Nothobranchius furzeri: one gene and its partners. The protein of the gene in region 5 binds, or shares a complex with, the protein of the main gene of each other region. Links are inferred from orthologs where the notes say so. Each region holds a gene or a part of one and is shown on either strand. Other genes may lie near its edges.

Region 1 (3,892 bases), on a different chromosome or scaffold from region 5:
GAGAACATGGAGCTCTTGCTGAAGGAGGACTTTGACATTGGCAGTAAACGAGCAGCTTTGCAGAGTTGACTAAAGCACATCCTGCAGGCCCAAGCGTACCTGGTAGAGTTCTAGACCTTAAATCCCTTTTCTGTTGTAGCATGCATGATGTTGTTCTAGACTTTATGGTTCGGTTAAAACAATTTACAGGGGTTTGCAACAAAGTACATAGTGATCATTCACATAGGAAGTCAGAGGCTTTCTTTCATTGTGGTTTATTTACTACATCAGTAAATTTTGGCATTCATTTTTAAATAAATGAGCAAAACCATAATTCTTGTTACAGACGTCTTATTCTCAGAAGAATGTAATTTTGTGAACTTTAAATCAGAAACTATTTGATAGTTTGGTATGAAAAAATGATAATTTAGTATGAAAAAAATGATAATTGGGTTTAATGACACTTAGATTTTACAAGTATTCAAACTCTCACTTATAGTGCAGAAACTTCCAGAGAAAATACAGCACATATGAATGTTCAACAACTGTTCTGTCCTTGACTGACGCGTATTAAATTTCTTTTCTGATCAGAGTTTCAGTTGATTTTCTTAAAAGCCTGGAAGCTTTGGTTACATTTTTACTGAGATTATTTTAATGAAAAGAGAATATAAGAATTAAAGATATACTCCAAGATGACAGCTTTATTCAAAAATACATACAAAAAAGGATTCTTAGACAAACTAAATTTCAATTAAAAGCTGTGACTCCTTCAGTTGGGCTCTTTATGTGTTCAATCCCCATTCTCCATGGGACTCTCCTGACTGTGGTCGTCACTATCTGACTTTTCATCATCTAGGAAAGACAGGATAGACGATGAGGGCAGCTCTGACAACAGTTTGTCTGTATAACCAAGTGGCTACTTACTTTCTAGTGTCTGCTGCAGCTCCTGAATGGTAGTAAGAAGAACATGAAACTGCTTCTTCCTCAACTCCAACTAAAGAGAATGCAAACATGGCATAAAAAGTCAGTAAAAATACAACTAAATCTGATACTTTAACAACATTAGGCCGCTGTGTTTGAGTTTACCTTTGCATCTACGTTCTCTTTGATGTGAGACAGTTGCTGGAGTTCTTTATCGAGTGCCTCCAACTGCCTGGAAGGTAAAACAAAAATGAGCACTTTATTGAACATGAAGGGGAGCTTGACATGTTTTATCGATAGGCTGACTTACTGGAGTGTTTCATGTCTGTCTGGGTGTTGCTGGATTACCTTTGCTAAAGCATCATATTCTTTGGAGAGACAGAGAACAGATACTTAAAAAAAAGTTTACATCCTTTTGACAACGCACATTTGATACCACATCTGGTAATTTTTCTGTAAATACAACAGATGTTAAAATGTCCTTACCCTGGCGATTTTTTCGTATTCTCTTGGCACGCAGAATTTCTTTTTTGCATTCTGTGATCTTCTCATGTGCAGATGTGATGTTTTGTTCTGCGAGGTGCGAAAGAAAAAAGTTTGATTAGTGTTAATTGGGCGATGGTGGCACAGGAGTTAAGTGCTCGCCCCATAATCAGAAGGGTGCAGGTTCGAGCCCCGCTCAGTTGTAGCTACGATGTAGCTCATCACCACCAGTGTGTGAATGTGTGTGTAAATGTCTGATTGTGTTGTGTTGTAAAACGCCGTGGGGGGTTCCAGGACTAGAAAGCTCTATAAAATACAGGCCATTTGGCATGTATGACTAAAAGAATTAACAAAAAATTCTGTGACATTGAAAACAAAGCCGATCTTACCTATGTTTGCGTAGATCTTCTCATAATTCTCCATTTCACGAAGATTCATGTCATAAACCATCAACGTCTTTCCCATAGAAAACTCACACTGAGCCAGAGTAGCCACCATCCTCTGGTACTGAGTGAATCTACACACAAAGAGCCCAATGTTCAGCATTTCACTGCAGTTGTGTACTCGGCATTCAAGATGTTACAAGCAAAAACTGGAGACAGATATATTGCTAGCTCGTACCCTTCTTCTAGGGTCCCAGAAGGTGAGTTGCACCACTTGGTGAAGCTCTTCAGCAGCAGATTGATTCGGCGGTCATCTCCAGCTCCGTCACCGTCAATGAGAAGACGTTTTCGAATCACCTCATCTGTGGAACATGCAATAAAGCAGCTGAAGAGCGTTGAAAACATAATGCATCTATGCTAAGTGTGCTAGCTAACGTCGCTATTACAGGTAGCATTTCTGGGTATTTTTCCAGATAATAAGGCGCAATTTACAATGTTTTAAACTTAGACGAAAACAAAAGTAAAGAGTAACTTAAGTGCTGAAATTAGTTAATGATAAAGCCACAAACCATCAGTTACAGCTCCCATGTTGCTGTTTTTCTTCTTCTACTACTTCCGTTCTACTGGTACTGATTGATCTTTTGTCTTTAGGCAACTCAGACACAGCTGAGCTCGTTACTGCCTTATCTGGTAAGAGGACGTTACTGCATGTTGTGATCTTTTCGCTTCATCTTCGTTAAATAATGTGGATTTTAAGTATACAGTGATTACAGTGATTATGTGACACAGAGATTTAGTTTAAATGCAATTTAGTAATACCACTAGGTTTTTTTATCACACAATCAATTACAAATTACACAATCAAGTGATGAAATTGAATTACGGTAGAATACATTTTTCAAAGGCAAAATGAATGCTGTAATCACTTTTTGCTGTGTAAAAAAACGCCTCAATTATGTATGAGCAAAGCCCTGCTCATAAAAACAGCATATGTTGTGTTTGGTGCTGGTTTAGTGGTAGATCAGCATACAATGCTGGTCTAGCAAGATGGTTCAGCATCCAGTCACCAGCTTCCCATACTGGACAGGCATTGTACACATCTTTTAACACAAAACCCTAAACTTTTGCAGCTGTTCAAAAATAAGCACTTTCTTGACATCAAAACGTGTCTTTAAAATTCACAGACATATATGTGAAATATATGGCACATATCAAATAGGATTAGATTAGGATTAGAAAATAGCCTCTCCCTGGGCTGCCACCTTAGCGTGGTGGAGGGGTTTGAGTGCCTCAATGATCCTAGGAGCTAAGTTGTCTGAGGCTTTCTGCCTCTGGTAGGGTCACCCACGGCAAACAGGTCCTAGGTGAGGGATCAGACAAAGAGCAGCCCGAAGACCTCGTATGATGAATTATATAAATGGAAAACGTGTTGCCTCACCCGGACGTGGGTCACCGGGGTCCCCCTCTGGAGCCAGGCCTGGAGGTAGGGCACATTGGTGAGTGCCTGGTGGCTGGGCTTTCACCCACTGAGCCCGGCCGGGCACAGCCCGAAGAGGAAACGTGGGTCCCCCTTCCCATGGGCTCACCACTCGTGGGAGGGGCCAAAGGGGTCGGGTGCAGTGTGTGATGGGTGGTAGTTGAGGGCGGGGACCTTGACGGTCTGATCCTCGGCTACAGAAGCTGGCTCTTGGCACATGGAATGTCACCTCTCTGGTGGGGAAGGAGCCTGAGTTCGTGTGTGAGGTTGAGAGGTTCCAACTAGATATATTCGACTCACCTCAACGCATGGCTCTGGCTCTGGAACCAGTTTCCTTGAGAGGGGTTGGACTTTCTACCACTCTGGAGTTGCTCCCACTGAGAGGCGCCGAGCAGGGGTGCGCATACTAGTTGCCCCCCATCTTGGTGCCTGTACTTTGGAGTTTTCCCCAGTGAATGAGAGGGTAGCCTCCCTCCGCCTATGTGTGGGGGGACGGGTTCCGACTGTGGTCTGTGCTTATGCACCAAACTACAGTTCAGACTACCCACCCTTTTTGGAGACCTTGGAGAGGGTGCTAGAAAGCGCTCTTTGCAGTGACTCCCTCATTCTGCTGGGGGACTTTAACGCTCACATGGGCAATGACAGTGAG
Region 2 (4,468 bases), on a different chromosome or scaffold from region 5:
CAGGGATGCTGAGAGCGTGGCTCACCGGGGCATCAGTGCTGGTGTGCCAACTAACTTCAAAGATCTTATTCAAACCAAGGCAGAGGAGAACAACATTGTCTTCATGCCTTTAGTGGGAAAACGGCATGAGGGGAAACAGCTGTACACATTTGGGCGTATTGTTATCTTCATAGACAGGGGTGTTGTGTTTGTGCAAGGAGAGAAGACCTGGGTTCCCACATCTTTGCAGAGCCTGATCGACATGGCAAAGTGAGCTCAGACACACTCATCATTTAGTCTGCTAAGTCTGAAAAGAGTAGCAGAACTGTTTTATGTATTAAGAGGATTTCAGTATAATTTGTACAAGTCTGTAAATTTGAAACACTGTCAAACTGTGAATAAACACTTATGTTACTTATGTTGTTAGACTGATTGATTTCAAAGTAGAAAATTATATATTTAGGTCCTGTAATTTTTAGTTTGATGCAAGTTTGTTCTAGATGGGTATCAAATGGTGCTGCATATGTAACTATTAGAAATTAACTTCTGATTGTACGTGATGCAAAAAAACTTACAGATGTTCCACTTAAGAATTAAGTTTATTGCCACAATACAAGGTAACAATCAAAAGAGTGAAAAATATGAACAAAGATCTATGCAAATAGATTGCTCTTATAGGACTGAAACACTGTGCATCGTGTCAATATGATAGATCTATAACTGCTTTATGAATACATTTGCATTAAATGGAGAATTACACTTACAAAGAAAATAACTAATATGGAAAAATGTCTGCAAATTTATAATATTACATTTACATTTTTGAAATGACTATTTGTGGAATTTCTTAAAGTTACAGTAGCTTTTAGGACAGTAGGTCGCGCTGTGTCCTCCGTTAGCGCTAAATGCAGTGCTTTTTGACTCTTGGGCTCTAGATATGAGACCCAGAGTGGCGCCGCCATATTGGATGGGCCTCCACTTTTTTAAATATTATCATTAAATTCTTATTAAAATTTCTCGTGAGACAACAACACATAATAGAAACATACAAGGCATCTTTAGTAACAATAAAAGAAAAACAAATAAACTTAAAAAGAGGTACTTATATCACAAAGTAAAAACATTGTTACAAGATTAAACATTTTTCGGCAGCATGACAAATGGCTTTTGCAGTTGCATTTGAATTTTTTATACGAGTCAAAGTGGATAAGAACATATGGAATTCATTTGTGAAACAGTTCTTGTTGCCTCCTCACTCTAAAGTCAATCCAGAGTTATCAACTATGCCCGGCAAAAACATCACGTGGATTTACTAGTGCCTTTTCTAGCCTACCTGATAATATTTTTTATTTTATTTTTATTTATTTCGTTTAATTATATTTATATTTTAATTATGCCATACATTGTGTCTGATTTGGTTAAAAAGCTTGATATAATGTGTTTTTAGTTGGGTAAGCAGCAACTTCATCAGTAGATGTAAATGCACCGCAGGCGAATGGAGACCCATCTAAGATGGCAACCGGGCGCTACGGCAGCTGAAATAGGCAGCGCCTGTCCTTGGAGCGTCTACGATTACGTATGTCTGTGTGTTGGGCTTCCGTCCTAAATCGACAATTTGTATGTAGAGGGAGTTCTCGTTTTTACGTGTACTATTCTATCAAGTAAAGACGTAAGTTTGGACCAAGTGAGTATTTGTCGGAAAACATACTATTTATAACCACAATGAGCGCATAATATCCGTCAAAATATTAGTTCTATTAGTTTAGTATACCGATGTTAGCTACAAGCTAACGGTTATTAGCCCGTGTTAGCTTGCATGCTAACCGTATGTCATTGTTACTAAAGTGATGTTTTCATCGGTGTTTTTTTATCGGTCTAAAACTCTTTATTTTCACATTCTAATAGCCATGTCTTCCGACGTTCTTAAGAAGCGGAAATCGAAGGTTCTCCGCAGTGAAGCAGGAACCCCGGAGGTGAAGCGGGGACGTGGAGAGGCGGACCAGCAGGTAGACAGAATCACTCAGAACTTTGTAAATAAGTGGTGTCCAATCATGGACATGTAGGCCCACTGTCCAGCATCTTTGTTTCAGCAGCATCTAGTTTGAATGAATGGATAGTTAGCATGCCTCTGTAAACTTGAAAACACGAATCTGTTAAACAGCAGTGGATTTGAGCAGGGAGATAACTAAAACATGCAGAATCGTGGCTCTCAGTGACCAGTATTGGACTTCATTGCTGCGATGAATTTACTAATTGAAGCTTTAATTGTACTTACTGTTGAGTTTACAAATATACAGAACATTGGCAGTTAAAAATGTCAGAGTTTGCACATTTTATTTTATGTGATGATCAATCAAACAGGGACATTTTCTGCCTCTCAGTTCACGTCCTACAGGTTCCTTAAAGTCAAAGTTATAGTTTTTATAGGTGTTTGAATATTGAATTGCGGTTAATTCATCCACATAGTATTACACAAGGTTAAATCTGTTTTTGTGGTAACAATTGAACATCTCATGTTGAACAAGTTCACAGGAATATTCACAGCACATTATGTTTTTAAACACTAGGTTGCATGTTAGCAACCCAAAAACAATAGTGAGGTAGGTGTGTAATAACTTTAGAATACTATGAAGTAGTATATTATTGATGGTTTTATTATTGCATGCTTGTTTCTTTTCCCAGGATGTTCGTGTCTATAATGAGGAGGTGGAATTGGATGGCAGGAACCCTGAACAGGACTTTGATCAATACAAAGAGTCATGTGAGGCTTTATCCAAACTCATGAGTGAGATCCAGAGGATGAAAGCCTCTGGTGCCAAGGAAGGGGTAAGAGCCATAATCTCTACAATACATCACAGCAGTATACAACTTTCCTTTAGTTTCTTTTTCAAACGTTTCCTTTTCTGCTGGAAAATCTCTACTAAACATCTGTTCCAGATGTTTCTTTTATTGACTTTTTCACATGCCATATCAAAGCTGTAAGATCTGAAGTTAAGTGTATGGGTATGAAAGTAAATATCCATATATATATATACATAAATGTTTCTTTTTAAGAGTATGGATGTCGAGCAGAAACGTATGCAAAGCTGCATCCTCTTCATGAATCTTAAGAAGCTCAACCGTCTAGCTCACATGCGACTGAAAAGAGGCAGAGACCAAACACATGAGGTAATTTTCACAAGTCTACTTTTGAACTGTGGAAAAAAACTGTTATAATTTAAAATGTTTTGTTTACTTTCTGGAAAGTGTTTGTTTGTTTTGTGCTGATTGCAGGAGGAATGTTTAACAAGAGGCACCTTTTTCATTTTAACATTCAACCACAGTGAAGGCTACAGTCAATGTGCAATACCAGTTTAGTTTTTGTGTTCTTTGTTAAGCTTTGAGTGTTTTACTTCAAATTTGATTTACATTCATTAATATGATCAAATGCTGAGTTTTGACAAGCATGCATTTATTATTTTTTAAAGGGTTATTTTTTTTGTTACTTTACAAATTTCATTGGTGATTACTTTTTCTGTTTCCAGGCTAAACAGAGAGTTGATGTGCTCCACCTTCAGCTGCAAAATCTGCTCTATGAGGTTATGCATCTTCAGAAGGAGATCAGCAAATGTCTGGAGTTCAAGTTAGTACTAAATTCTTTACTTGACTTCAGCCTTTAGTTTTTTCAACACTTTTTATTTATAATTTAAGATGAAATAATCAGTTTTATTAAAAGTGTTTAAGGATGTAACAACATATCTCTATAAGAAACCACTAAACAATTTGTTTCTTTTTAATTTAACATTCTCAGCACTACTTGAAAAGTATCCTGTCATGTCTAATTAAATTCTCCGTCTCTTAACAAGATCTAAGCATGAAGAAATTGACTTGGTGAGTGAAGAAGAGTTTTACCAGGATGCCCCGCCGGAGATCTCCAGGCCTTCTCTCACAAAAACCGATCCCCACCAGCTCACACTAGCACGGCTGGACTGGGAGCTCGAACAGAGAAAGAGGTACAGAACTTTACCACGAAATAGTACACATTTGTACTATTGTGGTTACTTTTTGCTGTTCGGTGTAGTCTTTGTCTGGCAGAGAGCAGCTGATTAAAGTATTTTTTGTTGGAAACAGGCTAGCTGAGAAATACAAGGACTCACAGGCCACAAAGGAGAAAATTCAGAAGAGCATTGAAGTGAAGAAAGAGCATCTAAGAAGCTTGCAGCCAGGACTGAATGCTATCATGCAGGTAAAAATAACAAAAACAGATTTTTAATGAAAATTTTACGCTTCCAAGTGAAACATGTCCGCTTTAAGATAGTAGGAGGTTGCATATGATTGCATACAATATTTTATAAATGTAATTATATGTTTCTACTTGGTCATCTTTTATCACTGTGTTTTATTTAGATTTTATTTATCAGCTGTTAATGTTTAATTTGTTTCTTAACTGTTATCTTAGTCTCATTAGTAAACTAGTGTTTCCTCTGTGGGGGCCGGCTGCCCCGGGGGC
Region 3 (3,866 bases), on a different chromosome or scaffold from region 5:
TCCGTCTCGTTCGACGGATGTTTAAAAAAGTGGGCTCGACTCCGTACGGACTTGCGTGCCTGCCGGATCCCTACGCAAGGACGGATAATGGCGTTGCGTGTCTCCGCACTGACGCAGACGGAGAAGCATAAATCAGGCTTAAAGCTGTGTTCAGTAGGGAAAAGGGCACAAGTTAGCAAAGGTCTGATGGGTTCTCAAGTCAGAAAGATTCTGTTCTGGTTTTATCAGTGAATTATCATTGAAACCAAACCCAAGCCTGACAGAAGATGCATTTGCTGTTTGGGAAGTACAGTCCTGATCAAAAGTTTAAGACCATTTGAAAATGGCCAAACGTCGTGTTTGTTTGGTTGGTCATTAACAAGGTCCCAAGTAGAGCTTCAATGTGCAACAAAAAAGAAATGGGAGTGAGACAACGATCAAATCGAAACGAGCTGCTTTATAGCTGATAAAAGGTTTAAAGAACAAGTTCACTGAGAAACCATTTTTATGTGTTATTTTTTTAAATGATTGGTCACTCTGAGTTTCACATGCAGGCTGAATATGTGAATAGTCTTCTACCCCTTTTTCCTGCATTAGCCGATAGAAAACAGACGAGGAAATTCTCAGGTTAGCAAAGCCAGTCAGATCTACCTCACAGTAAGTTAACATTCATGGACTCGGCCATCTTGGCTCAAGATGGGGAAGGCAGTTGTTGGTTTAGCATTCAGGAGAGACTAGAGCTTGCCTTGGCTAATAGAAGCTAACTGTTAGCATTAGCTGCTACTCTATACAGTAGAACTCATTCATTTATGGAGGTAAAACATCAATGATGCAAATCAAACAAGGTTAGTGGTAGAGTTGTGTTGCTGTTAGCCAATCAGGGGTGAGATGTCCAAATAGTCTTGTTGTACCCTTAAGCCGGGCGGACACTGTGCGACTTTTTCACTCGTAGCACTCAGCTTCAGCTCAAACTGTACGACTTCCTCACAGAGCAGATCTCACGAGTCGTGCGCTCACACTGCACGACCCAGTTCTCGGATGCGATCTGACTGCTCACGCTGTACGTCTGGTAGCAACACGTCGGCCCTAAAAATGTGCTAAAAATAGCAGTTTTTACACAACACGTCAGACTTTTTTGTCTTGTTTTGCCTGTTGTCCTTCGGGAGTGCTGCAGGGGGACACACAGGGATTTATGGGGGTTGGATGAGGAAAACAAAATAAAGAAAGTAAATCTGTGTTTTGTGATCAGTTTAATTTGACATGAACACGACAAACACGCTTTCTTGACAACCTTTGTGAGTAAAAAAAGTGTAGAAAATAAAAACGAACAACGTGTGTTATTAGGGAAATAGCGGGCGAGCGGTGTTGATGCATGCATGTGCCGTGAGCGGTTCTGGTACTTTTTGGGTCGCAGCTGCTCGCAGCGCCGCTTCAACAGTGCGATACCCTCACGAGGGACGAGCAAAATATTAAACACGCCAGAAGTCTGTGCGAGCTCACGATTGCTGATCGGTAGCTGGTCACGTGGTGTTAATCGCCTCTCGTAGCCCCCTGTACACGACGCTCAGCGCAAAACTCGCCCCGATCTCGTGGATTCTCGCACGAGTGGAAAATCGGCTCAAAAAAGTGAAAAAGTCGCACAGTGTACACCCGGCTTAACCTGAGCTTTCCACTGGATGCATAAGTGACGCGGTTCCTCACGAGCTCAGCGGTGCATATCGTCTCACCGGGAGATTTTCTGACATGAAGCGGCAGTGAATGTGTCACAGCTGGACCCACAACGTTACAAAATCACAGGAAAACGCTAGATCAAGCATGATTTCAGCGGTTCACGTGATAACAAGCATGGAGAAAGATGGTAACGGTATCCTAGCAGGTCTGTGGTGTACTTACTGTTTACCTCAGTCACAGAGGTTTTACAGGTAAATATAATAGAAGCTAAGTGCTACGTACTACGCTTTGTGGACATTTTGTGACGCTCGCGCGTCTGATGGAAAGCTGGGATAACAAGCTGGACCTACTCTTGCTTCGCTTTATTTGTGTTCCTGATTTGTTGCTGTGACCGATCCTTCTGAACCACCAGAGCCTAAAGCAACGTCTGGGGAAAGGCAACATCCAGGCCCGGCTGGGCCGGCCCATTGGGCCTCTGATGCGGGGTGGACCTCCTGGAGGAAGAGGAGGCATGCGGGGGATGACCAGAGGAGGCCTCAGAGGGGGTTTGAGAGGAGGGATCATTCGTGGGGGTCTGTCTTCTCTGAGGGGTAGGTGTCCGTCAGCGTGGAGATGGTAGGGGTGTTTCCTCTCAGCTGAGCAATCACATTGTGTTAAACAGCCAGGCGAATGCCTACAGGTGGACCTATGAGAGGTCGGGGGGGCATCGGACGCTTCCCCATGCGTAGAGGAGGTCGGCATCGTGGAGGAGTGGCAGGAAGAGGAGGAGTTCTGTCTCGAGGAGGAGGTCGAGGTGGAATGCCCAGAGGCCGGGGTAGAGTTTGTATTTATTAGTACAATCGTTTGATGACTCGTGTCTTTTTTTTTTTCACTGTCTCACTGATGATGTTCTGTCTTCAGGCCGTGGTGGACTTCGTGGACGTGGGGGATTTGCTGGTCGTGGGGGCCGCGGCCGTGGGCGGGGCAGAGGACTTGGCCGGCCCACCGTTACAAGGGAACAACTGGACAATCAGTTGGATGCGTACATGTCAAAGACCAAGGGACACTTGGATGCAGAACTGGATGCCTACATGGCCCAGGCAGATCCCGACAGCATGGAGTGACGGCCCAGCGAGACCAGAGCTGAAGACTGGGGCGTAGCGTCAAGTGGTGTTGCTGCACCCTGTTGTTTAGCCGTGCATCCACCTGCTGCTGAAGAGCCAATCAGCTGATGAATAAACTCAAGGGGACTTTGACCCTGATGTCCACGGACTTCCTGTATGAAGTTTTAGTCAAACAGGTGTTTGGTGTAAACTGTTTAGTTTTTCTTAGTTTTTCCTCAAACCTCCAGAGTTTCTTTGGCTCATCTTAAACTTGCAGTGGAAACGTTTTTTAAAATGATAATTTTACAAGAATTTTAAGACGAGTCATTTTCTCTTATATTTGACAGGGAAAGAAGTGCTCAGGCTTTGGGTTGTTTGTATTCCGTGAAGCTGACAAGATGTTTGTTTTAAAATTATTTCCCAAGTTGTGTTAAGGAAATAAAATGATGAATGAGATATTTTCTGATTCATGTCAAACATTTAAGGCCTGTAGGTGTTCTGGAGCATGTAGAAAAGCAGATGTCCTGGTGTGATCTTAGCTTTTGTTCTGCGATTGGTGCCCACAGGGACATGGTTTCCATGGCTGTGTCTCACTGGGAAAACGTCACCAGTTAGAAGGTTGGACGTTCAAACCTAAGACCTACAAACTTCTCTATACTACATCCTGTGAACCATGTGTGTGTGCGCACATACCTAAAGGATTATTAGGAACACCTGTTTAACTTAATGCAATTATCTAATCAACCAATCCCATGGCAGTTGCTTCAGTGCATTTAGGGGTGTGGTCCTGGTCAAGATAATCTCCTGAACTCTTAACTGAAGGTCAGAATAGGAAAGAAAAGTGGTTTAAGCAATTCTGAGCGTGGCATGGTTTTTGGTGCCAGACGGGTCGGTCTGAGTATTTCACAATCTGCTCAGTTACTGGGATTTTCACCCACAACCATTTCTAGGGTTTACAAAGAATGGTGTGAAAAGGGAAAAACATCCAGTAATCGGCAGTCCTGTGGGCGATAATGCCTTGTTAATGCTAGAGGTCAGAGGAGAATGGGCCGACTGATTCAAGCTGATCGAAGAGCATCTTAGGTGTGTTCTTGCTGTGCGTTATTTCTAATTCCATGTTGTTGTTCTTTTATA
Region 4 (4,465 bases), on a different chromosome or scaffold from region 5:
AAAAGACTTTTACAGTACGTTTGCTTCTGTGGATTCAGATTCATGATTTTTGTTGTTTTGGGGTTTTTTGGGGTGGAGGGGTCAGACTTCAGCTAACATGTTTTATTGATACTGAGTAAATTCTAAAGGCATTTTATTTTTTATTTATTTCAATTATTAGAGGGGGCTATCCAAAATACGTGGAGAAGGTTCTGTCCTCTCCCTTTTAAATCACACTAACTGATAAACTATGTTATTTGGAAAGCTAGGTTGAATGTTTCTAGCCGGACCTGTAAAAGTAAGACATGTCTGACAATGTCAAGTAGGCTCAATGATCTCAAAAGCAAATGGTTGATTGCAGTTATTACAAATAGGCATGCAGTGCCAGGTTTTGGCTGCTTTTTCCCTTGAAAGATCAAATAATTGTTTATCTGAAGTGTTTTGCAAAATTTTCATATTTTAAAATTTTCTTGAGCCAGTGTGTGCTAAAACAACCCTGTACAGGGTTAATGAAATGTCACTCAGACCCCGACCACCCTCTATGGCCAGAATGTCGCACTTGCAACTTCAGAGTTGGACTTGTGGAGCTGACATGCCTGGTGCTGCAGTCTGCTTCCTGCATGTTTTAGATCATAAACACTGCTGGTTTGGTCAATTTAGTGATGAGCTGCTCCTGTAGAAATTAAGGAAGGATGGGGAGACATTATTATGGATTAAGGTGTTTAAAAAGGTGAATGCACAGTTTCACTTTTGGTTTTACTAACAGAACACTAGGGGCTGCTAAAAGCAACCCAAAACTGGTTAGTTGTGCAAAAAAAAAAAAAAAAAAAAGCAAAAGTTTAGAAATCTAAGGGGTCAGTAGCCATCACCAGTTCTGTGTAACTGCTTAAAGAGCAAGTCACCCCCTACCAGAGTATTACTCCGCTCCCACTTCCTGTTTGAAAAATGCAACAAATTCTGTTGCCTAGCAGACCAAGAGGGCGGGCCCGCTAACAAATACACACACACACAACGACATTGTGACATCATATGCTACCAGCTAACGTTCTAGGGTACCCCTTTGCCAATAACGATGGCAGATTTAAATTCAAATGCAGTGCAGAGTTTTTACCTGACAACGGCACAACACTCACAGTTTTAGGCAGAAAATTTAAATTTTAACTTAAATGCACAAAAGTGCAAAACTACACGTGTCTGCAGCACGGTTAGATACGCATTTATATAGTTTATCAGAAAAAAGTTGATCTGGGAGTGTCTTGCTCTTTAAACACTTAACTATATTATTTTAAAATCCTTGACTTTGTGAAAGTTTCTTTTAAGAATTGATGATTGATGTGGTTTAGTTTTTCCCGGTTATTTCTTCAGTTTACAGTTTTAGTTTCGATCAAATGTTATATGTCATATTTGTCAAAAAAATATTTATTTATTTGTTCTGTATTTTACCACATCTGTGTAGAACTTTTGCACAATTCGCACATTTTCCTGTCAAGGTTTCTTTTAGATACATGCTCCGCCCGGTTCCGCCTCATCGTCGACAGTAGAGGGGATCACGTTCACGTACTCACGTCAGGCTTACGTAGAGAACGTCGTGTTCTACTACTTGTGTTTAGCAGCTGCTACAAGAATCAGACACCGTTGAGCCTTGAAAGGGACAGGGAGAGGGACCGACCGTGTCTAGGGTGTAACATTCTTAATTTGTTCAAAGTTTAGCGTTATTGGGGCAGCAAAATGACCGATAAGATGGATATGTCTTTAGACGACATTATCAAACAGAGCAGGCAGCAGAGAGGTGGAGGCCGGGGAGGAAGAGGCCGTGGCCGCGGAGGCACAGGCAGCGGCCGGGGTGGAGGCGCTGGGCGACTCGGAGGCGGCGGCGGAGGCTTTGGAGGCCGAGGCGGTGGATCCGGCCCCATGAGGAATCGACAGAACCTGAGTCGCGCTAGAGGCAGACCTACGCCTTACAGCAGGGTATGAGAATGTTAGAGGAATAAGCAGAGAAATGTTTTCATATTGTGTCCCTTCTCCCGCAACCCAAATGTGTAACGCACGTCGAGCTTCAACAGCCTACGGAAGGAGTGGAGGCCCTCAGCGCCATTTTGAATCCAGCCCCGCATTGTGAAGCTAGTCGTCAGTGAGTGCTCAGTGAGAGGTATCCTGGCCACGGTGGTGAAAGAAACCCACTTCGTCAAGAGTATCACTCGAAAGTGTGTTTTCACTGCTTGTCGGAGCGGGATATGTGCTCAAGTTCCCGCCAGCGCAGCGACCAGGCGGCCTTTTGTTCGGGGAGTGGGTTCTCAAGCCCTCTGGTGGCTTTTTCTACCAGTTTGCCTGTTACTTGTGGATGGAAAAGCGGACTTTTACTCCTCTGTTAGTGCCCAAACAAAACCGGTTCTTCGTCTTTTAAAGTGTGATCGAGTTGGTAGCGAAGCCAAACAAAGCCCCAGTCAAAATGGCGTGGTTTCAAAATGGACGCTCACGCAGAGGGGAGATCTGGCCATTTTCACTCCTCATCCAGCACACGGACTCTTCCCCTACTGAGAACTGTTCTGAGGTCCAGGACACAAAGTACCAGCGCTGGAGACGCCGCTGCATCGAACAGGAGTCCCCGAGTGTCCCGAGGAGCTGGCTTTTCTGGAGGGAGGCGCAGATGGCGAGAACAATGGGCATCTCTGGTAGCTAGTCTGAGGAGTTTTACAGGTTTAGCATCAAGTCTGTGGGTTTGGGTTTAAGAAATATCTGTGATGGTAATACTTAGGTTTCTGGAAAGGCTCGTTAGTCTATTCTAGGGTTTATTTCACTAGAAACCCAGAACAGGACTGTTGAGTTTTGTTTTTATGGTTTTGTTTTTAATCCATTTACTACATCAAACTTGGATCTAAAGAATACATTTTTATTTTAAGTGGGCTTTAATGGGACCATTTTTCTTTAGACAGTTGATTAGAGTGATTGAAACAAGTGGCTCCCAGATCTTTTAACTTCTGATTTACAAGATCTGTGATTAAAAACCTTCATTATTCATGACGGACACGTACAAATAGCCAATAAGACAATTACATTAGGACAGGAAGATGACTCCATCCACTTTCACCAAGACTAAACGCTTGTCAGTTGGTCTGTTTAGATGTTTTCTCTTCATATATGTCAATTATTTTTAAATTTGATAATCTCAACATTGGTGTCCTGTCCTAACTTTGGGAACCAGTGAGTTTGAACTAGGGATGCACCGATACGATACTGGTATCGGCACCGATACCAATACCAGTATCGGTGAAAGTTAACCAATACCAGGAACCGATACCAATGCAGTTGCTTGAAAATGGCTTCACTGTAACTTGTCATTTCTGTTCACCTAATATTTTAGTTTTGTGATGATTTCCATTCATATATTTTACTTTTTATCTACCTCACAGTCTTTTCCTGTTGAAAGCAGAGAAGAAAGTAAAATCTGCATTCCAAATCATTGCATTTTTTTTTTTTTTGTGTGGTAGAAGTATCTGTATTGGTATCGGCGAGTACTAAGATCGGTTTGGAAAAAAGTGGTATCGTTGCATCCCTAGTTTGAGCATGTTTTTACTAACTTAAATCAGTATGGACTTTATTGTGATGTTTGTACACATTCCGATTTAAGATGGCCCAACATTGGTGTGTTAACGTTTAAAAAAGTTCAAAATTTGAATCGAAGCGAGACTACTACAAATCCCCTTGCTTTTGAGTATTTGTGTGCACGTCCCTTTGAGCTGATGCACTTGCTCGTTGTGACGGGGTGGGCAGGGAATACTGGGGACCCCCCCCCCTCTAAAGGGAGCTGAGCACCATGTTGGAAGTGGAGCCCCCTGCTTGCCCCAACAGCCAGCCGTGTGGACTCAGTGATGGGCAGAGGCAAGGGGATCCTGAAGTCAGCAGGTGCGTTCTCTTTCATCTGTTGCAGCCTAAACAGCTCCCAGACAAGTGGCAGCACGACATGTTCGACAACGGCTTCAGTGGCTTCAATGGTGCTGCTGGGGGTGGCGGGGGAGCTGGTGTGGAAACTGGAGGGAAGCTCCTCGTCTCCAATCTCGACTTCGGTGTTTCCGATGCAGACATTCAGGTACTCCAAAATCCGCGCTTCACTGGTTGGTTGTGTTTTATGGCTTGTTGCTGTCTTAGACTAATCTTGGATGTACTTTTTCAAGGAACTTTTTGCGGAATTCGGAACTCTGAAGAAAGCTGCAGTTCATTACGACCGGTCGGGAAGAAGCTTAGGAACAGCAGATGTCCACTTTGAAAGGAGAGCTGACGCTCTAAAGGCCATGAAACAGTACAACGGCATCCCACTGGATGGTACGCTTCAGACCTTGTTTACATTTTTCTGGTTTGACATGACTAAATAATTCAAACTTTCTTGAGTGTTCAACCCCCTTTGAGCTGATTTATAGTGGATCACTTCCTCTCCTCAGGGCGACCTATGAACATACAACTTGTCACGTCACAGATTGACACACAGAGA
Region 5 (3,709 bases):
TATTGCTATTCTAATTGAAAAACTATTAACAGGAAAGGAGCATTTTTGTAAATCTGGTGTGCAGCAACAGGGCAAAACATGTTGTTTGACAAATTATCTTGCACTTTTCATTAAAACTAAAACATTTTGGTATTTTAGTGGTTAATTAAATATAAATGGATTATCCATCTGTGATGCTGTAAATATGACGAAAACTTAACATTTAATTGTCGTGTTATTCTAAGAAGTTGCTTTTATTTTTCTGGTGTGATTCAAGTTTTTTTTTTCAGAAGCACCAGAGCTCCTAAGCCTGAAACAAATGGTATTGCATGCTAAAAATCACCATTCTTCCAAAGAAAACTAGAAATATTGCAGCAGCATCAAGTAAAAGGAAGAAGGACACACTTACATAATCGAAGAGGATGGTGGGATTGCTGTGGCTCAGCTTGCCAATCTGCCTTCCTGACTGTTTCACATTCTCTTTGGTCAAACGCCTAAAAAGAGACAAACACAAAACAAAACAAGAAGTGGCAGATTAAAAATAAAACCATTAATCTAGGAAACAATCTCAAAGCTGTCAGTTTAAGAAAACAAAACCCTTTTAATCATTGTAGCGCTCTAATCTACAGTTTAAGTCATAAAAACTTTACCCTGAGATGCTCCAGGACTGACTTTCAACCAAAGAGGAAAATGGTGCTAATAGTCGACCAAATCCTGCACAAGTTACTTACTTCATAATATATTTGGCTCTGTCCACAGTCTGAGCTTTAACTTTAACCAACAATGGATGTCCAGAATAGGTCTCATTCTTCCACTGCCCATATAAACGGTACCTGAGAACAAATACAAAAACATGGAAGTTTCAGGAGGGTTTTTTAAAATCTGGCAGCTTTGTGTGTGTGTGTGTGTGTGTGTGTGTGTGTGTGTGTGTGTGTGTGTGTGTGTGTGTGTGTGTGTGTGTGTGTGTGTGCGTGCGTGCGTGCGTGTGTGTGTTTACCTGTGCTGATAAGGGAAGAGCTTAAAGAGCCCCCACAGTTCCTCAGACATGCAGGCGTTACACTCCATCACAGAGATGGACGGCAGCAGAACCTGGTCTGCGATGCTCAGGAAGCAACTTAACAGTAACTCCTGAAATGAACCAAAGTGAATAGTTTATTTTACCAGTCAGGGTGGCAGTTTATCTGGGAGGAAATTGGGTTGAAGATTTACCATCTTGTCTTTCAGCTCAGGTCTGACATCAGATTGGTACTGTCAAGCAAAGTCAACAAAAAAATGAATAAAATGGTAATTGATCTGTATTTGATATTGCGCCTTCTAGAGTCTTAGAACCCCAAGGTGTTTTACAACATATTTTACTATATATATATATATATATACTAGGGTTGTCACGGTAACCGGTATAGCGGTAAACCCCGGTAAAAAAGTTGACAATAAAAATAACCGTCCAGTTTTTAAAAAAACTAAATTATCTCGGTGGGTTTACCGTGGCCGCGGTTTCGGCGCGGTGACCCTTACCAGCCACCGTCGCTTCAGCTGAATTTCCCGCGGCGCGCACACGCACTTTTTAGTTTGCAACGGCACCAAAACTTTGAAGCTGAAATAATGGCCGAAGGAGGAGACAGCAGCGCCCAGGACATCCATCAGCCCTCAAAGAAGACTAAATCGGAAGTATGGGCATATTTTGGATTTCTGAAAAACGCTGAGGGACAGTTAATAGAAGACGGCTATCCCGTTTGCAGAACGTGCAGGAAACAAGTGTCTGCAAAACGCAGCAACACTTCGAATCTAATGGCACATCTGCGTGACCATCACCCACGTCTCTACAGCCAGTGCAAGGTAAGTTAACATTAGCATTTTAGCTTAAATGCATGACGCGAGGACTTTTGGCTGAGGGAGAATGCAACGAGTCACTATATACTGCAGCCGCAGCGCCCTCTGCCAGCATTTAAACCGTGTCACGGACGCCCTGTTGCTGGATGAAGCATCTTATTTGTTGATGATGAAGAGAAATATACAATTAGTTCCTTGTCATTGATTTGTTTACTTATTCAATGCCATTTATACTTGAACATTTGGATTTGATTACATAGTGTAGTAGTTATTTTAGTAATTTGTTTAAAGTTGCTATTTATTTTAAATACATATTTTTTTAAGGTTGACTTGTACAGTGCTCAAGTCAAGTGTGGACTGGGGTTTTAGATTTTCATTTTGATAATGAAGAAAACAAGTATATGAGAAAACAAGTGGTGTTTCTTTGATTTGTTTACATATTGTTTATGTTTTGAATGTTTGGATTTGTATAATTTAAACCTGCACTGACTACTGTAACATGTTCCAGAAAAATAAGCTATTTGTTCCTTTACTTGTGAAAAGTTGCACTTTTGCTAAGGCTTTGTGTTATTTTAGGTTTAATAAACACTGTTAAACCTTTTCAAAACTATTTCAGTTTGTGTAGAACAGGACTATCAATGCTTTCTGAACATATGCAACACCGTTTAAAAAATACCGCGATAATACCGAAAACCGTGATAATTTTGGTCACAATAACCGTGAGGTTAAATTTTCATACCGTGACAACCCTAATATACATTATTATTATTATTTTTTTTTTTTACCTCTTTCATGAAAGCTTTGCCCAAACGGACAATCTTGGCAAACAGAATGGGGTCATGAGAGAGGTGAGGGCCCAGATAGCACAGCATGCTGAATGTGTCCCTCCGTAGGTCCTCAAAGCTTTCTGCAGGCTGAGGAGCTCGTTTGTTCATCAGTAGCTGCATTTTGCAGCTCCTCGCCCCCTTTGGAACGCCGGCTCTGTAACGAAACAGCACAGCACTAGTCCATGTTTTCTGCCCAGCCGGCAACAATTAGCAGGCAGTATGCGAGACGTTAAAGAAATCGGTACCTCCTGTAAAGAGGCTCCACAGTCAGGTGGACGAGCTGGCAGAGAGCCAGCGCGATGGCCTTGTGAGAAGAAGCATAAAAGGAAGGCATCTGGTTCATAATAATCTGGGCGTGGTGCCAGTCTCCAATCCTGAGTAACGCTTCCAAAAGGCCGAGCTTCTGGTTATCCGGTGGCTGTAAACACAGATGTGAGACAAACGTGGTTTTACTTTTGTCACTTCAGGAAGGGGACATGTCTAAACAACCCCCCCCACCATCCATATTTATATGTAACCAGTATGAGCTTCAGCACCGTCATACCTTCTCATTTTTCTCTTCTTCTTTTTCTTTCTCCTTCTCTTTGTCTTCACTTTTCTCGGAGGGCAACACAACCATAACGAGCTTGCGAGCAATCTGCTTGGCCTCTGAAATCTCTCGCTTGTGCTCCTCTATGATGGTGGCATCTAGTGGCATCAGCTGGAACAGCGAAGAGGAAAGAAAAGTAGCAAGTAATAATCTGACAGAGATCACTGCAGGTGAAACCTTCATGTTGTCACACCAACAGGCCATAAAACACTACTAGCAGCATGTCACACAGGCATGGACTGGAAACCGCTTTGCTAAAAAATGTCTGCTGATCTGTGCATTCCTGCTCCTTACATGCACGTAGAGATCCTCCAGCTCTATTAGGTTATGGTGAAGCAGGGCAGCAGCGATGTGGTAAAGGGACTTGGGTGTTTCCTCATTGGGCTCCTGAACAAATACACAAATACATTACTCATATATCTCTACCTTTAATTTACTTCAAAAAGTCTGTTTGCAAACATGACACTTGGGTTCCTGCTGTTGT
Region 6 (3,709 bases), on a different chromosome or scaffold from region 5:
GACATAAATTAATCGTTAAACCCATCAGGACTCCACCAGCCGGGGATCTAAAGATCCATCTGCTCGTCAGGACTTACTGCAGCTTTACTGTTGGCAACAGCCCCTGTAGGAGTGCAGGGAGAGAAAACATCAGCAAACCTCATCACCTACAGCAGGATCACGTTATTCTTTTACTGGTTATTAACTCTGCTTCTAGCATTTATGAACACAGCCGGGTCAGTACCTGGAGAGGGACTGGTAGCATCAGTAGGTAAACCAAACCTGCACACACAAGGCAGATCAGATCCATATTAATATAAATATAACATTTAATAAAGAGTTATGACACATGCCCGCTGCAGTGGAAGTGTGGGAACAAATCCTTCAGTGTTCCCAGTCACATCAGGGATAATATTTAAATTAGAGGCTTTGCATTCATTCAAGGAATGCATTATGTCTTCCTTACTCAGCATCTTTTAATATTTCTAATGAAAAACAGCCCAAATCTACTATTGAATCAGGCTAGTTAAAAGTAGATAAAAACAACAGAAAATAAATATAGATGCAAATGGACGCTCCACAGATCTAAACCCACACATCCTCCTGTGGGGTGTGTGTGTGTGGTGTGTGTGTGTGTGTTCAGCCTCACCTCGCAGCACGGATGGCCTTCTTGCTCTCAGCTGAGGCTGGCATGTTGAAGCGCTCAGCTCTCTTCTGTAGTCTCTGCTGGTGGAAAACAATTCAGTACTTTAGATTTAAATCCAGTTGTTTAAAATCAGAGCAGATGATGCTGACAAACAAACAAACAAACAGACAAACACCTGCTGGCAGCTGGACAGTTAGACCAGCGATACCTAAAAAATAAAACCAACCCCTCTGCAGTTTGCCATAGACCTTAAAGTAACCTCGTGTGATTCTGTGTAAAAGTTACTTAAAACTGCTTTTGCTTCCTGAACAGCCTCTATACAGAGAAATGGCATTTTCCTCCCTCAGGACTGATAGGCTAAGGGCTAGTTTAAACAAACCACCGTTATCTAAAACCATCTCTAATCTTCTAAACATCGCAGCAAATCATGAATTTATGTCATAAAACATTGATTTTACATTCCGGTTTTTCAGCTGGGTGTGTGGTCATTCACAAGTCTAAAAATCACCAACAGCAGCACTTCAGGTGCGTCCTTCCTTTATATTTCTGCCCAAATAATTATTTAGTTTAAACTTAACGATAATAAAAGTTGATTTATTAAGTAAGAACAGCTGAGATTAATGGTAACAACTACACGTTGTCGCTTTAAAACACTTTGGTCTTAGCTGCACTCAGACTAGCTGTTAGGTCATCACTCCCATTAGAAACACCATTTCTCCACACAGAGGCTGTTCAGATGGAGAATATTCGTAACTGTTGTGCAGAAACTTTACTTCAGAACAGACATAATAATCCTGTTGATGCTAAAGTTGGATTAAAATTGGATTAAAGGCTTCCCCGTGTGAGAACATGCCATACATACGTCGCTGGCAGATGATGGAGGAGCGATTTTCACCACCTTCTTCTCAGCAGGTCTGAAAGGAGGAAATATTATGAAATGGGTGTAACTAAATCAGGAGATGCAGCTGTGAGCAGATACCTCAACAAATCTGACCCCTGAGACTTGTGAGTCGACACATGGAAGAACCAATGAACAAGCACTATCTACTCTTTCAGCTAGCTGAAAGAATAGACTTCATACGGAAATTTTCCGGTGCTCCGCATCCAAATCTGCACTACACTGCAGCACGTTTGAATGCTCTGATTGGACTCGAGCAGTTCTGGTCCACGCAGAAGCCGTGCGGAAACCAGACCGCATGTGTTCTGCATGCAGTGTGAAAGCAGCTTTAGTCAGAAGCCGAGCACAGGCGTCCTGAACCACCTGCAGACGGTTCAGGGAGGTTCTGCTCAGACACGTGAAAAGAGAGTTGCTGTAGTCTAAGCGTGAGGAGATGAAGGTGTGGAGAACAGGGCTGAACGATTCTGGAAAATAATCTAATTGCGATTTTTTTCTTCAATATTGCAATTTAATTCATGATTATTTTCTCAAGGGGCTTTTCTCATATTTTTCAACCAACGGACGCAAAATAAATCTATGTGACTTGTAATGAATAAAAACAAGTTTACATAAGCACAAGTAAAGACAAAATGTTGTATTTGAAGCTGCGATGCTTTGCAGCGAGGAGCACATCCCCTGAAGGAGCATAGGTATTAGCAACACCTGTGAGAATGTATTTGCAGGAAAGAAGTGTGTCCCGTTTACTGAAGTCTTTTGTGTTTAGAATTTTTGGCGTTTTGTCCATGCAGAGCTTCCATAGTTCAGCTAAGTCCATAGCTGCTAGCCAAAGCTCAGTGGAGTTAAAGTCTCTTACAGTTTTCTAGCTTTCCTAAAATATCTGTCTGTACTTATTTGATTGATGGCAGTTTTTACTTTTTATTAGACTTCAAATGTAATCATTTGGCATGTTCCTAATTTGTAATTTGTAAGAATGTAATCAGCAATATTAGCATTAGCATCCCTATGGGTTTTTCCATGTTTATTAGCATTGTGCTAAACACTCACTGCCAGTCAAATCGCCTTTGCGATTAGAAAATCTAATTTTGTCACATCGTGATTTAATTGCACATGCAATTAATTGTTCAGCCCTAATTGAAGGGTGTACAAAAAACTGACATGAGAATCCAGGGTGAGAGGGTGGGTCAAAGGTCACATCAAGATTCCTGACAAAGGGTTTGGTGTGAGAAGCAAGCTGACCAAGAGAGTCTCTGACTTTGGGAACCAGCTTGTCTGGGGCACAGATGAGGACCTCTAAAACCCGCCGGTCGTCTTTGTTAAATTGATAAATGAAATTTAAAGGACTTACATCTCACTCGCAGTCGTTTCAGTGTCTTCGTCCACTTTCACCGTGTTGGAACTCTCAACTTTAGTGAAGTCCTAAAAGGAAAATAGAAACTTTAAGTCTTCCTTTGCAAATATAAATCTACATCTTTGACAACAAGAGAACAGACTACAGAATATAGTCAGAATATAATCAATCATTTTACCGCCGTGTCCTCTGCCAGCACATCGTCTAAGTCCACATCTTCCTCTGCAAATAAAAACACAAGACAAGGACATTTGGACGCGAACCCAAAGAAACCAGCAAGATAAGAAAACAACCTACATTTGTGTAACTGAACACAACTGGAGTTTAGCCTGAATGGAACTTAGAAATGACTCAGTTGGATGATTTTAGGGTTTTTAAAATGATCCATCTGTGGGAAAAGTCCAGTTTGTGACTGATCTAGTTCAGTCTGAGGACGACATGCTGCTGGTTTATTGGGCTGAAACAATTCATTAAATTACTAAAGTATTAGACTCAGCGCTTTTAAACCAAGGGGAAGTCTAAGGCTGAGTAGTTACTTGTTTCACAGGGATAGTTTTTATTGTGGGACACCACGCTGAGACTATGCTCTGTGTAAATGACGAAGACAGAAAGTAAATGGGACACAAATCTGTAAAAAAAAGACCAAAGGAGCCAGAAGTTCAGGAGTCTTTCAAACACAGGAATAGCCAAAAGACTCAAACACAGTGTTCACTCCAATAGTAAAGAACATAATACAGACAACTGATGTGTTTCTAATTATTACAGACGTGTTTCTAATTATTACAGATGTGTTTTTAATTATTACAGATGTGTTTCTAATTATTACAGACGTGTTTCT
Region 7 (4,169 bases), on a different chromosome or scaffold from region 5:
ATTATTTAGTCTGGCAACGCTCCATTGACGGCTCGCGGTTGTGGGGCGGGTTCTACCGTTGCCTACTGGACAATGAATGTGACATACTCATGTTTCACTCTGTTGCATCGTCCCACCCACCAGGCATATAGAGTGCCCTGATTGGCCCACAAAGCGGATATAGCTCTGTGATTTGTTCACTAAGCAGATAGAGCACTATGGCTCACCATTATGGACCAATCACAGCTCTTTATGTGTTTGAAACCCCTCTAGAGAGCTGTGATTGGCCAGCCAGAATGCTGTTGGGGCTGCAGAGGTTGCAGTGGAGTGTTGCTAGACCAAACTTTGCAAAGCAAGAATTTGGTCTAGTTCACTAGGCTATAGGAATGCTAAAGTGAATCCTCAATCCCTAGGCAGGTCACATAAAAGCACTATAGACAATATGGGCAGTGGATAACAAAAAGAGCACATCACAATATTTATTACTAATCTAATTTATTACTATTCTATTACTAATATTTATTAGTAACAGATTAAACGGCAACAGTTACAGGACTGATGTGCTTCTAGTTAAGCACTCCCTTATGGAGCGTGAGAGACAGCACCAGATCTACCTGTTGGAGAAATTTTTATTTATTTGTTCTCATTTTACATGATTAAACTTGTTAATACAGAATATCTAGTTCAATTTCCATGTTAGTGTCATCTACTAGTCTATTATGATCTATAAGACCACACAGGTTGCTGGACACAAAAAACTCAAGCTGGAAAACAAACTGAAGACAAATTAAATTTTAGATAAGGACAAAATAGAATATTTGGACTTAATTTGCTTGTGAATATTCAGTAGAAATGTGCATGCAGTAAACTTGTGTTTTTCATTTGAGTCACGTTGTGGGCTTTGCCATGCATGCATTATCTCTCACATATTTTTGTTCTGTATGATGATCACACACCTGTCTCTTTCAACATTCTGCAACTGGCTGTCACACCCGTGCACCCTGATGACAGGGTTCTTCTGAACTTGGAAGTATTTCTTTGTTCGAGATTTAATTCCTGATTTATTTTTTACTTTTGAATAAGTGCTTCTTCCCTGATAATTGAATGCATTATCATTTATTTGATGTATGTTTAGACAGCTAACATCTACCGAAGCCAAAGTCCTTGTAAATGCAACTTAACTTGGCCAATAAATCTGATTCTGATCGATTCTGATATGTCAGAAACAAGCCCTCTCTTTACTACATCTCCCACAATCCTATGCTTGATCATACGTCATATCTATGCGTCTTTCTCCGTCACCACCCGATTCGTTTCATATTTATGTCGATGGTTTCTCCCGCGCTGGCTCCATTGTCCCTTGTTTCTCCGCGACTTTAACGGAACCGGGAGGATTTTGAGGCAGAATGGGACCCGTAGAGGTAAATATTATAGCTATCGCGCACACGCTTCTGACGAAGAGTAAATGTTTTAAAAACCAGCTGCAGCCCTATTCAGTGTTTCTCTTCTTCGTATTATTGTTAAAATCTCATTAAACTGTTTACTAGGCAAACAAACATATATGAGGTATGATTTGTACAGGTTTTAACTTATTTCTTTGCTGGCGGAGATTTTATTATTTAGGAAGAAACATTCAAGCTTTCAAAATAACGATGTTCTCTGATATCATTAAACATTTATAAATCTGAAAGTGTTACAGATATTATTGTAACCAGGTTCAACCTGATGTTAGAGTCTGTTTTTAAGGTAGTTTGAACTGATTTGATAATCCGTTTCAGGAAGACACATTTTCCGGGCTTGGTTTCTCCGTGTCACGTGACATGTTCCCACCAATGACCATGCGCCCTTGGAAACAGCCATAAAACCCGCACACATCCTCCCGACCATGTCGATGCTCCCGACGCGGATCTGAAAACAGCCGATATGATCGTTCATGTGTGTCTGATGTTGTTTAAATAAGGATTAACTCGATCTCTTCATGTCCGCAGCTCCTCCACATGTCGGTTTTCTCCCAGAGCTTTTCTCCCTGCGGACGCTTCCTGGCGGCCGGAAACAACTACGGAGAGATTGCCTTGTTCAGGTGGGACAAACCAGCGAAACTGGTCTCGCCTTTCACCAGTCTGAGGTTCACACCTGCCGTGTTTTTGTTTCAGCTTGGCTGCAGCTCTAAGTCCAGAAGCCACCACCGCTAGCCAGAAGCCTGTTCTGACGTTTACAGGTGAGTCCTCAGAGAAGCTCTTCAATCCCACCTGTGCGCATTCCGAGGAGTAACCAGAGCCGGGAGACCTGGAGATGGACTGTCCAATCTCAGGGGCAGTAGTTGCTGAGGTAGTCAAACGACTACACAGCAGCGGAGCCCCGGGGGCGGATGAGGTTCATCATGGGTATCTCAAGGCTATGGATGTTGTAGGGCTGTCGTGGTTGACACGCCTCTGCAACATTGCGTGGTCACCGGGGGCAGTTCCTGTGGAGTGGCAGACCGGGGTGGTGGTTGCCATCTTTACGAAGGGTGACCTGAGGGTGTGTTCCAACTATAGGGGGATCACACTCCTCAGCCTCCCTGGAAAGTTCTACTCCAAGGTACTGGAGAATCTCAGATAGAGGAGGAGCAATGTGGTTTTCGTCCTGGCCGTGGAACTGTGGACCAGCTCTATACCCTTGCAAGGGTGATGGAGGGGGCATGGGAGTTTGCCCAACCAATCCACATGTGTTTTGTGGATTTGGAGAAGGCTTATGACCGTGTCCCCAGGGGCACCCTGTGGGGGACGCTCCAGGAGTATGGGGTGGGTGGCTTTCTGTTAAGGGCAATTCAGTCCCTTTACCAGAGGAGCGTGAGTTTGGTCTGCATAGCCGGTAGTAAGTCGGACCTGTTCCCGGTGAGGGTTGGACTCCGCCAGGGCTGCCCTTTGTCACCGGTTCTGTTCATCACTTTTATGGACAGAATTTCTAGACGCAGCCGTGGTGTGGAGTGTGTCGAGTTTGGTGGCAGGAGAATCTCGTCTCTGCTTTTTGCGGATGATGTGGTCCTCCTAGCTTCATCCAGCTCTGACCTTCAGCTCTTGCTGGGTAGGTTCGCGGCCGAGTGTGTGCATAACTGCAGACGCTGAGCCGATCTGTCGTGGTGAAGAGGGAGCTGAGCCAGAAAGCCAGGCTCTCGATTTACCGGTCGATCTACGTCCCAATCCTCACCTTTGGTCATGAGCTTTGGGTAATGACTGAAAGAACGAGATCGCGGATACAAGCGGCCGAAATGAGTTTCCTCCGTAGGGTGGCCGGGCTCAGCCTTCGAGATAGGGTGAAGAGCTCGGACATTCGGGAGGGACTCAGAGTAGAACCGCTGCTCCTCCTGATCTAAAGGAGCCAGTTGAGGTGGTTTGGGCATCTGGTCAGGATGCCTCCTGGACGCCTCCCTGGGGAGGTGTTTCGGGCATGTCCTGCCGGCAGGAGGCCCCCGGGTCGACCCAGGACACGTTGGAGAGGTTACATCTCCAATCTGGTCCGGGAACGCCTTGGGGTCCTGCCGGAGGAACTGGTGGAGGTGGCCGGGGAGAGGACGGCCTGGAGCTCCCTAGTTGGGATGCTGCCCCCGTGACCCGGATAAGCGCAGGAAGACGACGGGGGCCCAAGGCGAACACAGACATGAGGCCCCCTAAATTTTCGACAATCTTATCTTTAACTGGATTTGTGAAACTTCCCTCTTCTGACATGAGTTATTTTCACTTTTTATTAGTCCTCCTCTTTTTTCCTGTCTTTCTCTCCCTATGAGTGCTTTCTTCTTCCTGTCAGTGCTCCTGTGTCCTTTCTTTTTTTTCTTCTATTTTTTCCATTTTGGTCTGTTTTCCTCCCTTTAAACATTTCCGATTTTCTTTCCTTTTCTGCTTCCTTTTGATGTTTACATTGAAAAACAACGTCACTTATGGAAGTGAAGATAAAGGCTTTTTTAAAGCAAGCAGCATCTTTCTCTTATTGGAGCCACTAGGATAACTCCATTTCATGCTTCATGTTTTGACTATCGCTTAGAATTTGTTGCGAACGCTCCCGCCTCTCTTCTTCTTCTTATTTGTGGTCTTATGGCACTTGGCAAACAACAATTTGGTGCATTACCGCCACCAACTGGATTGGAGTGGAATGACTACCAATCACTTCCTGTTTGTGCACCGGCGTCTTAAAGGAATAGTCCATTGTGGCAT

Evidence for each region.
Region 1: thoc2 (region 5) and thoc7 share a complex: the UniProt entries of both Homo sapiens proteins name them as parts of the transcription/export (TREX) complex. The link is inferred for Nothobranchius furzeri from reciprocal best matches to the Homo sapiens genes THOC2 and THOC7.
Region 2: thoc2 (region 5) and thoc5 share a complex: the UniProt entries of both Homo sapiens proteins name them as parts of the transcription/export (TREX) complex. The link is inferred for Nothobranchius furzeri from reciprocal best matches to the Homo sapiens genes THOC2 and THOC5.
Region 3: thoc2 (region 5) and chtopa share a complex: the UniProt entries of both Homo sapiens proteins name them as parts of the transcription/export (TREX) complex. The link is inferred for Nothobranchius furzeri from reciprocal best matches to the Homo sapiens genes THOC2 and CHTOP.
Region 4: thoc2 (region 5) and alyref share a complex: the UniProt entries of both Homo sapiens proteins name them as parts of the transcription/export (TREX) complex. The link is inferred for Nothobranchius furzeri from reciprocal best matches to the Homo sapiens genes THOC2 and ALYREF.
Region 6: thoc2 (region 5) and sarnp share a complex: the UniProt entries of both Homo sapiens proteins name them as parts of the transcription/export (TREX) complex. The link is inferred for Nothobranchius furzeri from reciprocal best matches to the Homo sapiens genes THOC2 and SARNP.
Region 7: thoc2 (region 5) and thoc6 share a complex: the UniProt entries of both Homo sapiens proteins name them as parts of the transcription/export (TREX) complex. The link is inferred for Nothobranchius furzeri from reciprocal best matches to the Homo sapiens genes THOC2 and THOC6.

The regions. Positions count from the first base shown.
Region 1 is NC_091743.1:56,272,582-56,276,473, forward strand, and holds thoc7 (THO complex subunit 7 homolog), read right to left. Parts: upstream 2,442-3,892; 5' UTR 2,355-2,441; coding exon 2,336-2,354; intron 2,129-2,335; coding exon 2,005-2,128; intron 1,901-2,004; coding exon 1,773-1,900; exon of another isoform or gene 1,474-1,772; coding exon 1,387-1,473; exon of another isoform or gene 1,269-1,386; coding exon 1,211-1,268; exon of another isoform or gene 1,133-1,210; coding exon 1,066-1,132; exon of another isoform or gene 974-1,065; coding exon 904-973; exon of another isoform or gene 832-903; coding exon 770-831; 3' UTR 666-769; downstream 1-665. UniProt on the Homo sapiens protein: Component of the THO subcomplex of the TREX complex which is thought to couple mRNA transcription, processing and nuclear export, and which specifically associates with spliced mRNA and not with unspliced pre-mRNA.
Region 2 is NC_091757.1:44,994,432-44,998,899, reverse strand, and holds the start of thoc5 (THO complex subunit 5 homolog), read left to right. Parts: upstream 1-1,548; 5' UTR 1,549-1,663; intron 1,664-1,884; 5' UTR 1,885-1,886; coding exon 1,887-1,985; intron 1,986-2,661; coding exon 2,662-2,805; intron 2,806-3,033; coding exon 3,034-3,147; intron 3,148-3,503; coding exon 3,504-3,601; intron 3,602-3,824; coding exon 3,825-3,971; intron 3,972-4,089; coding exon 4,090-4,204; intron 4,205-4,468. Other genes in the region: tfip11 (tuftelin-interacting protein 11), read left to right, coding at 1-253. UniProt on the Homo sapiens protein: Component of the THO subcomplex of the TREX complex which is thought to couple mRNA transcription, processing and nuclear export, and which specifically associates with spliced mRNA and not with unspliced pre-mRNA.
Region 3 is NC_091751.1:23,238,748-23,242,613, reverse strand, and holds the end of chtopa (chromatin target of PRMT1a), read left to right. Parts: intron 1-2,062; coding exon 2,063-2,240; intron 2,241-2,311; coding exon 2,312-2,464; intron 2,465-2,550; coding exon 2,551-2,753; 3' UTR 2,754-3,188; downstream 3,189-3,866. UniProt on the Homo sapiens protein: Plays an important role in the ligand-dependent activation of estrogen receptor target genes. May play a role in the silencing of fetal globin genes.
Region 4 is NC_091752.1:50,607,314-50,611,778, forward strand, and holds the start of alyref (THO complex subunit 4), read left to right. Parts: upstream 1-1,580; 5' UTR 1,581-1,707; coding exon 1,708-1,947; intron 1,948-2,211; exon of another isoform or gene 2,212-2,444; coding exon of another isoform or gene 2,445-2,651; intron 2,652-3,907; coding exon 3,908-4,066; intron 4,067-4,151; coding exon 4,152-4,299; intron 4,300-4,415; coding exon 4,416-4,465. UniProt on the Homo sapiens protein: Functions as an mRNA export adapter; component of the transcription/export (TREX) complex which is thought to couple mRNA transcription, processing and nuclear export, and specifically associates with spliced mRNA and not with unspliced pre-mRNA.
Region 5 is NC_091750.1:48,368,573-48,372,281, reverse strand, and holds part of thoc2 (THO complex subunit 2), read right to left. Parts: intron 3,613-3,709; coding exon 3,520-3,612; intron 3,337-3,519; coding exon 3,181-3,336; intron 3,055-3,180; coding exon 2,882-3,054; intron 2,791-2,881; coding exon 2,595-2,790; intron 1,228-2,594; coding exon 1,189-1,227; intron 1,108-1,188; coding exon 977-1,107; intron 813-976; coding exon 711-812; intron 474-710; coding exon 389-473; intron 1-388. UniProt on the Homo sapiens protein: Component of the THO subcomplex of the TREX complex which is thought to couple mRNA transcription, processing and nuclear export, and which specifically associates with spliced mRNA and not with unspliced pre-mRNA.
Region 6 is NC_091755.1:36,673,251-36,676,959, reverse strand, and holds part of sarnp (SAP domain-containing ribonucleoprotein), read right to left. Parts: intron 3,094-3,709; coding exon 3,050-3,093; intron 2,940-3,049; coding exon 2,869-2,939; intron 1,540-2,868; coding exon 1,488-1,539; intron 706-1,487; coding exon 629-705; intron 262-628; coding exon 224-261; intron 104-223; coding exon 78-103; intron 1-77. UniProt on the Homo sapiens protein: Binds both single-stranded and double-stranded DNA with higher affinity for the single-stranded form. Specifically binds to scaffold/matrix attachment region DNA. Also binds single-stranded RNA. Enhances RNA unwinding activity of DDX39A.
Region 7 is NC_091745.1:30,134,667-30,138,835, reverse strand, and holds the start of thoc6 (THO complex subunit 6 homolog), read left to right. Parts: upstream 1-1,254; 5' UTR 1,255-1,385; coding exon 1,386-1,400; intron 1,401-1,967; coding exon 1,968-2,059; intron 2,060-2,132; coding exon 2,133-2,197; intron 2,198-4,169. UniProt on the Homo sapiens protein: Component of the THO subcomplex of the TREX complex which is thought to couple mRNA transcription, processing and nuclear export, and which specifically associates with spliced mRNA and not with unspliced pre-mRNA.